2 linked regions of the Oryzias latipes genome follow. The protein of the gene in region 2 purifies or fractionates together with the protein of the main gene of each other region. This does not show direct contact. Links are inferred from orthologs where the notes say so. Each region holds a gene or a part of one and is shown on either strand. Other genes may lie near its edges.

Region 1 (3,845 bases), on a different chromosome or scaffold from region 2:
ACCTGTGACCCGCAGAGGCGGGACTCCGGGCCCACCTCTCCGTGACGTCACGGACCGCCCAGTCTCCTTGACATGAGGTTGCTGCGTTCACGCACGCCCCATGGAGCGGAAATTCCAAACCTGCGCCAAATTCATCCCACGAGATCTGCCTGACGACCAGCACCAAACTCCATCCTCATGCACACAATGCAGCCGTTACACTTCCTCCAGAAAACTATCATATGAACAACAGATTTAGTTCAAAATCTGGGATGTTCTGGTGCTGAACGCAAAAGTCAAACCGACAAAGATTCATTCTGAAGGTTTACATCAAATAAATCATCCGTTTCTATAAATAAGTCAAATAAATCAGTTTCTATAAATAAGTCAAATAAATCAGTTTCTATAAATAAGTCAAATAAATCAGTTTCTATAAATAAGTCAAATAAATCAGTTTCTATAAATAAGTCAAATAAATCAGTTTCTATAAATAAGTCAAATAAATCAGTTTCTATAAATAAGTCAAATAAATTAGTTTCTATAAATAAGTCAAATAAATCATCCGTTCTTATAAATAAAACAAGCTTCATACAGTTTGCTGGAGGTAAAACAGAAAAAGTCCTCAGCTGAACCGGACCCCTCCCCAGTAAATTCCCAGCACTATGACCCCCCCACATTCAGAATCCATTCCGTTTTAGCTGATGAACCAGCAACTCTGGGTATGGGGGGTCTTTAGCCCCCCCGGTTTACAGAATGGGACGTTCAGTTTAGTAGAAAAACTTTATTTAGTCGTCTTCTTATAGGAAGTGTTCATTCAGGAGCTCCTGCAGGAGCAGAAGTCTTCCTCCGCCGTGCACACACGTGCACACACGTGCACGGTGACCCCTCCAGCAAAGTTTCTGGGTGTAATCTGGGGCGAGTCATGGAGCAGCAGAACTGTGGTCCGGTTCTCCTCAAACCCACAGCAGCTGCGGTCCGGATCAGTTCAACAGTCTGACGATGGCGTTGATGTCGGCGCCGCGGAAGCCCGGCCCCCCCAGGTCCTTCAGGAGACCCGCTTTGTCGCGTGCGGCGTGACGCGGCACCGACAGACGGAAAGGCAGCAGGAAGTTGTTGGCGGGCCGGAAGCTCCTCCCCACTGAGAAGATCTCATGGATCAGATCCTCCAAGCAGATGATCCCATGTTTACCTGGGGGGGGCAGAAGGTTCTGCATGTGAGCAGGAGGTCCAAAAGGACACACGCACAGGAACCCCACCAGAACCCCCCATGGGGGAAATCACAGCAGGTTTTAGGGCGGGGGCTTAGACGGACCAATCAGGAACCACGACCAGAACCACTGGTTCTGACGGCTCAGACGGGTTCCTTGCAGCTCTGTGACGCTGTTTACTGTAGAATGTTCCGTATGATCAGAACTGTTGTTGGTTCTACTGTTATTTCCAGAAAAGTAGGGAAAAAAAGTTTCACCCGAGAAAATCTGCTGGAATTACAAAATAGAGTCTTTGTGGAGGCGGAGCCTATAGCAGAGACATTCATATTCGTGTCCAACAAGCAGGAAGTTTCTTTTTCCATCTTTGTTCTCAATTTCTAAAACTTTATTCTGAAAAGACTTCAGTGCAAGCACAAATAGGGCTGTGACGATAACCGCATCACCGCACTTTTTTGACGCACTTTTTTTTTTTTTTTTTGGTGCGTGTTTGGAACTATAATAAACACGTTCATCTTTGCTGATAATTTCCTTTTTCTGCTAGTGTTCAGACTTTCTTTCTTTCAGACTGTTGTCTCCTTTTCTCCCACCGCTCGTGCTCTCAGTGTCTGCCTTCGCGCTGCACGCGGCTCCGTTTACACAAACAGGCGCGCGCTTTCAGAAGCACACATCCTTATTCTACAACAGAAGTTTCCGTCTCGTGAGGAAATACGACAAATTTACTGCTTTCTAATTATTAATTTCCATTGTATTCATTTCCATTACAAGCTGCGTGCGTTCCTAAGTGCGCGACACGGCCGCCCACCGGAGGATTTTGTGTTGGGGGGGGGGGGGGGGGGGTGTAACTGTCCTCCTTCAATCCGTAACACCAAACATGAACGCGCACTGTTAGATTTCCATGAAAATCACTACATGTTTTCTTTGGGAACTATTTTTTGCAGCGTAACGTTACGTGTCTGTATAAACAGAGGCGGAGCCTCCTGCCCCGCGTTCTTCATGGCTGTCAGGCTTCACGGCTACCGGAAAGGTGACAGCGTCTGCAGTCTGTTTATTACTGGGCAATAAATAATATTCTGAGAAGATGTCTGTACCAGAGAGCACAGGTGAAACTTGCGTGCAGCTCCAGAGCGGTCCGCTGCAGAAGAATCAACACACACCCCCAACACACGTGTGCGCGCCTTCCTACTATTCCTACACAAGACGCTCCGCGCTCACACACAGTCAATCTACAACACCTATAGTTAGTTCACAAGTTAAATATGTAGTTGTTGGTTGTTGGTTAACCGCGACACCGCGCCCCCTGGTGGTTCATCACCACGGTGATGAAAAATTCGACACCGTCACAGCTCTAAGCACAAAGATGTGTTTTATTTTGAAAAGACGTACCCATGTGCTGCTCGATCAGCGCGTTGTCCGTCAGAGGAACCCGCCTCCTGCCGATCCTCGTCTGACCTCGCTTCAGGATGAGCTCCCGGACCGACTTCAGGTTAGGGAACCTGAGAGCGGAACCGATAAACATCAAAGAACCCAAAGCGGAAGGAGAGCGGGCCGAGGAACTCACCCCCACGCCACGTACGGCTCCACCACCTTCATCATGGCCACGGACGTCTTATTGATCTTGATGAAGGCTCCACTGAAGATCTTCCTCAGCCTCATCATCTGCACCACCTTCCTGACTTTGGGGCTGACGCCTTTGATCCTGGGGGGCCACAAGCACCACACTGGTCAGGGTTCTCCTCAGACAAGTAGGGTCGTGCCGACAGACCGGCATCACCATGGAGAGACACCATGGTGATGCCACGCCCCCGCCACACCCCCGCCACGCTGCCAGTCGACACCATAAGCCGTGGTTACATGAGCAAAATATGTTGATGGGATCAATGGTCGGATCAGAATCAAGCGTGTTCGTGGGCCCAGAAAAACTTAGTCTGTTTCTAACAAACGTTCACATGGTGGCCTTCCAGTCAGAATGAATCATTCACACATCCGCAGCAGTGTTGGAATACAGGAAGAGGAAATGAGTCCCGCTGGGAGGCTACATGCATAGATATGTCAGCTCTGTCATATACCAGATGATTTTATTAATGTTCCCATGAAGGAACTGCTCACTAATCCCTGTGGTCAGAGCGGTTTCTGTGGAAGAACGGAGCTGGAAGAAGGGAGGACTGAGAGACGATACAGGCATAACCTGACCTTCCACTGTGGATAACCTGACGTTCCTCTGTGTTTAACCTGACGTTCCTCTGTGCATAACCTGACGTTCATCTGTGGATAACCTGATGTTCCTCTGTGCATAACCTGATGTTCCTCTGTGCATAACCTGACGTTCCTCTGTGGATAACCTGACCTTCCACTGTGGATAACCTAACCTTCCACTGTGGATAACCTGACCTTCCACTGTGGATAACCTGACCTTCCACTGTGGATAACCTGACGTTCCTCTGTGGATAACCTGACGTTCCTCTGTGGATAACCTGACGTTCCTCTGTGCATAACCTGACGTTCCTCTGTGGATAACCTGACGTTCCTCTGCGTTTAACCTGACGTTCCTCTGTGGATAACCTGATGTTCCTCTGCGTTTAACCTGACCTTCCACTGTGGATAACCTGACCTTCCACTGTGGATAACCTGACGTTCCTCTGTGGATAACCTGACGTTCCT
Region 2 (3,641 bases):
GACTATTGGTCCTTCAAATCCTTGAAAATTTCAAGATATTCCTGGATTTTTGCCTCCATTGAAATACACGGGGAATCCTTGGTGCAGGGGCTTGCTGGTTCGATACCCAGCGCTAGCATTTTTCACAAAAATATACTCTGTTATTGTGCTGTTTTCCCTTTATGGTCCACTTCAATTTTTATTTATTTTTGCCAATTATGACCCTTTAAGTTTTCATTCAGAAATATAGCATTCAACCCTGCATTTTCTTCTGGAAATGCAGCTCCTTCTAGTTTTTAAACTGCATCTGATCAGAAATGTCATCAAAAATCGTTTTCTTCACCTGTTGATGTAGCTTTTGTCCACATTAGGTCTGTCCACAATTTGATGTGTGATCGTCTCGTCTGTGGCATCATACGTGCTCCCAATGCAGACAGACCTGTCCCAGGACACCTCTCCACCAAAACACCTGAAAGGCAGAAGCAAAGCTATTGGATTTATTGTGACCATTACTTTATGATTAAGGTCACACTCCGATCATCTTTGGATTTATTATTAAGCGTTCCTTCCCACTGGTCTTGTAATTATGATTATGCCATTTTTAGCTAAAATCAGTAAAACCTGCTCCGTTTTCTGGGTCATATTTCCTGCGGAGCGGCAGGAGTTCATTAGAAATTCACCTCTTGACTGTTTTCCGAGAGCAACCTTCCCCCATTTCCCGTCACCCATAACTGAGCTCTCTGCTTATGTGTTCTCCTGCTAGCTAACAGCCCCCCCCCCCCCCCCCACCTAATATTACCGGTGCAACAAAAACGGCGAGCAATATCGGAGATATCCAGACGTACAGTTTTGAGCCAGATATCAGCTCAGTTGAGGTGCATCAGAATGGAGCGGAACAGGAAGCTTGTGAGCCGCTGATTGTAACACCTACAAGGTTTATCAAATGGCATTTTTTTGTCTGCTCCTGTTTCACAGCAATTTGAATAAAGAAATACTCAGAAATGCAATTCCGGGCATAATTTTCCTCTATACATGTACTCCATAAAAACACCAAAACACAATTTTCATCAGAATGGAGCTTTAATTTCCCAAAAGTGTGTTTACCTGATGACAAAAGCCAGTGACTCTCTGGGAACTTCCCTGTTCAGGAAAAACTTGAGTCCCTCAAAAATCTTTTTTTGGGTTTCCAGCTGCATTTGCTCCTTTTCTCGAGCTTCGACTTTCTCCAAATCCTCCTGGAGAAGAAAAATAACAATAAAAAAAAGTTTCAAATACTGATGAGTTTTAATTTTGCCTTTATAAATGGAGCGATAAAGATTAATTGCATGTATCCTAATTCACTTCTTGATGATGCAGGCTAAACTTAAGGCTTTCCATTATGCACCGAAAATGCTGACCCTTAACCCTAAAATAAGTCATTTTTCTATATTAATTATAAATGACAATTCTTTATTTTATTTTAAGAAATAAACATTGCTTTAAAAGAGTGAAATTCATAAATATTCATTATGCATGTTCATGACACAAACTAGTATTAAAAAAAAAAATTCAAAAGTAAAATGTTTAGGTAATTAATCCTCTTTTTGTCACATTTGACAGAACTTTGCATTGTACCATCATCAGTGTGGTGTTCAGAGGCAGATGAGTGTCTTTGAAAAGACCAAACGTTAGTTTAGACTTGGCTCTTTAAACTGCACTAATGACTTTTATGGCTCTCAAAAAATGTTTGTTTGTTTTTTTAAAGAGCCATATGAAGTCCCTATGGTGTTACGCGATTCCTAGATGACCATTTTAAACTGGCAAAGCAAAACAAGCTTCTCAGGTGAGAACCAAAGCACCAATGGCAAACAAACATAAAGCTGTAAATCCCTGGTTACATTCTAATTTTTTAGCCCAATTGTCCTGAGAGAGTAATGAATGTCCTATGAATTTATTTGGTGTTGTTTTGGAGTTTTTCCACAAAATAAACATTTGTATCAAGTATAATAAAAACAAATGTAAAAATTCCAAACATGTCTTGCCTCCTCCGTAGGAAACGCATCGAGCTGAGCATCTTCTTCCTCTGCTGTAGAAACAACCCGGGCCAGGCTGGCACTGAGAGCTGCAAGTTTCTGCACAGATAAAACATCACGTTTTCCCCCTGTCATCTACTTCATTTTTATTTATGTTTATACAGTATTAGAAAAAGAGGGAAAAAAACTCAGACTAAAGTTTTAGTTTAATAAAATACCATCCATTTTAGCACCATGATGCCTAAATCCTGTTTGATCCTGCTTTTATGTAAATAAAGGAAAAGTCTATGGTGGACCTGAAGTAAAAATCATTCAATGCAAAAACATATTTAAGATCAAAACAACAACAAAAAGATGATAATGATAAAAAAATATCTATATATCTATATATATATATATTTTACATTTTAGAAACCAAACCATAAAAAAAAAACATTTTTGGAAAACAAAAGGAATTGCCAGAATTAAAATGAAATGTTTAAACATTAAATAATAAGAGACCAAGAAAGGTGGGTATCACTGACTGGATGAAGATGTTTGAGTTTTGAAGAAGAGGGAAAGCAGAAGAATGTGTTGCCCAAACTGTGGTTGAGAGTAGAATGAGCAGTCAACCCTTTGCAGTAACTGAGGCCAGAAGTTTAATCAAATATCTTCTGTCTACAATGCCAAATAACTTTTCGTTGAAAAGGTGATCAAACGTCATCATTCAATCAGTTAGGACCCACAATACCGACCTTTCCTGGTTTCTCCTTTTGTTTCTGGACATTAATTTTAATTTCTGAAACGTTTCATTTTTATTTTGTTTCCTTTTTCTGGTATTGTGTTTTGGTTTTGGCTTCTGGAATATTGCTTCAATTACTAAAATGTAATCTTATTCATTTATGTTTTTTAATAGTTTTGTCTTTTTTAATTGTCATTGTGATCTTTCACAAGTTTTTTTGCTAAATGTGTTAATGTGATTTTAGGGCCACAATAAAAGTCAAAGAGAAAATAAATACTAAAACAAAAGGCCGTAAATAAAAACAGGCATTTTAGGCTGTTCACTGTGGGAAACAAATAAATAAAAACTAACCTCGGGGTAGCTCTCTGAGTCCATAGCATATTCATCTTCATTCTCTCCCTTGAGCTCCGACTCTGCTTTAATGTCCAGCTGTGTGAAAACAGAGTAGGTTCAAAGTGGAGCTCATACGTATGTCTTAAAATCGTCTCCAGTTCAAAATACCTTTGGAGGGTAGACCAGGTTGAGGGAATGGTAGAGCCTGAAGTTCACAAACCCCAGCAGGGTTGTGTACAACTCTGTGAAAGTTGCCATGACTCTGTAGTCAACATCTGTTGGGTGCTAAAACAGCAAAAATATTATTTTAGAAAAATAAAAGGTCTACTCACCAAATAACTGTGTCAAAGTGAAACATTTCAACATATAATTTGAGTAATAATTCAAAAAAATAGTTTAAAATTACACTTTATAAAAATGATCAAAAATCACATGAACGTTTATGTAGCTTTCCTCCCTCTTTTAGCTGTTAAATTGTCTATTTGTAAAGAAGAATTATTTCTTCTGAGGACATCAGTATTTGGAAAACAATGAAAAGGCACTGAAGCAAGTCAACATAAAGGAGTCTCGGCGTCTGCACCTCAACTGGAAATTAA

Evidence for each region. Proteins that work in one complex are often made in the same cells at the same time.
Region 1: the proteins of pes1 (region 2) and rpl7l1 purify together in Homo sapiens (affinity purification with mass spectrometry; 4 studies listed by BioGRID and IntAct, counting the BioPlex papers as one, with this or other methods). This does not show direct contact. The link is inferred for Oryzias latipes from reciprocal best matches to the Homo sapiens genes PES1 and RPL7L1.

Annotation. Positions count from the first base shown.
Region 1 is NC_019882.2:429,102-432,946, forward strand, and holds the end of rpl7l1 (60S ribosomal protein L7-like 1), read right to left. Parts: intron 2,884-3,845; coding exon 2,746-2,883; intron 2,681-2,745; coding exon 2,571-2,680; intron 1,169-2,570; coding exon 960-1,168; 3' UTR 746-959; downstream 1-745.
Region 2 is NC_019867.2:13,306,982-13,310,622, reverse strand, and holds part of pes1 (pescadillo homolog), read right to left. Parts: intron 3,331-3,641; coding exon 3,214-3,330; intron 3,142-3,213; coding exon 3,064-3,141; intron 2,091-3,063; coding exon 2,001-2,090; intron 1,215-2,000; coding exon 1,084-1,214; intron 449-1,083; coding exon 323-448; intron 1-322. UniProt on the Homo sapiens protein: Component of the PeBoW complex, which is required for maturation of 28S and 5.8S ribosomal RNAs and formation of the 60S ribosome.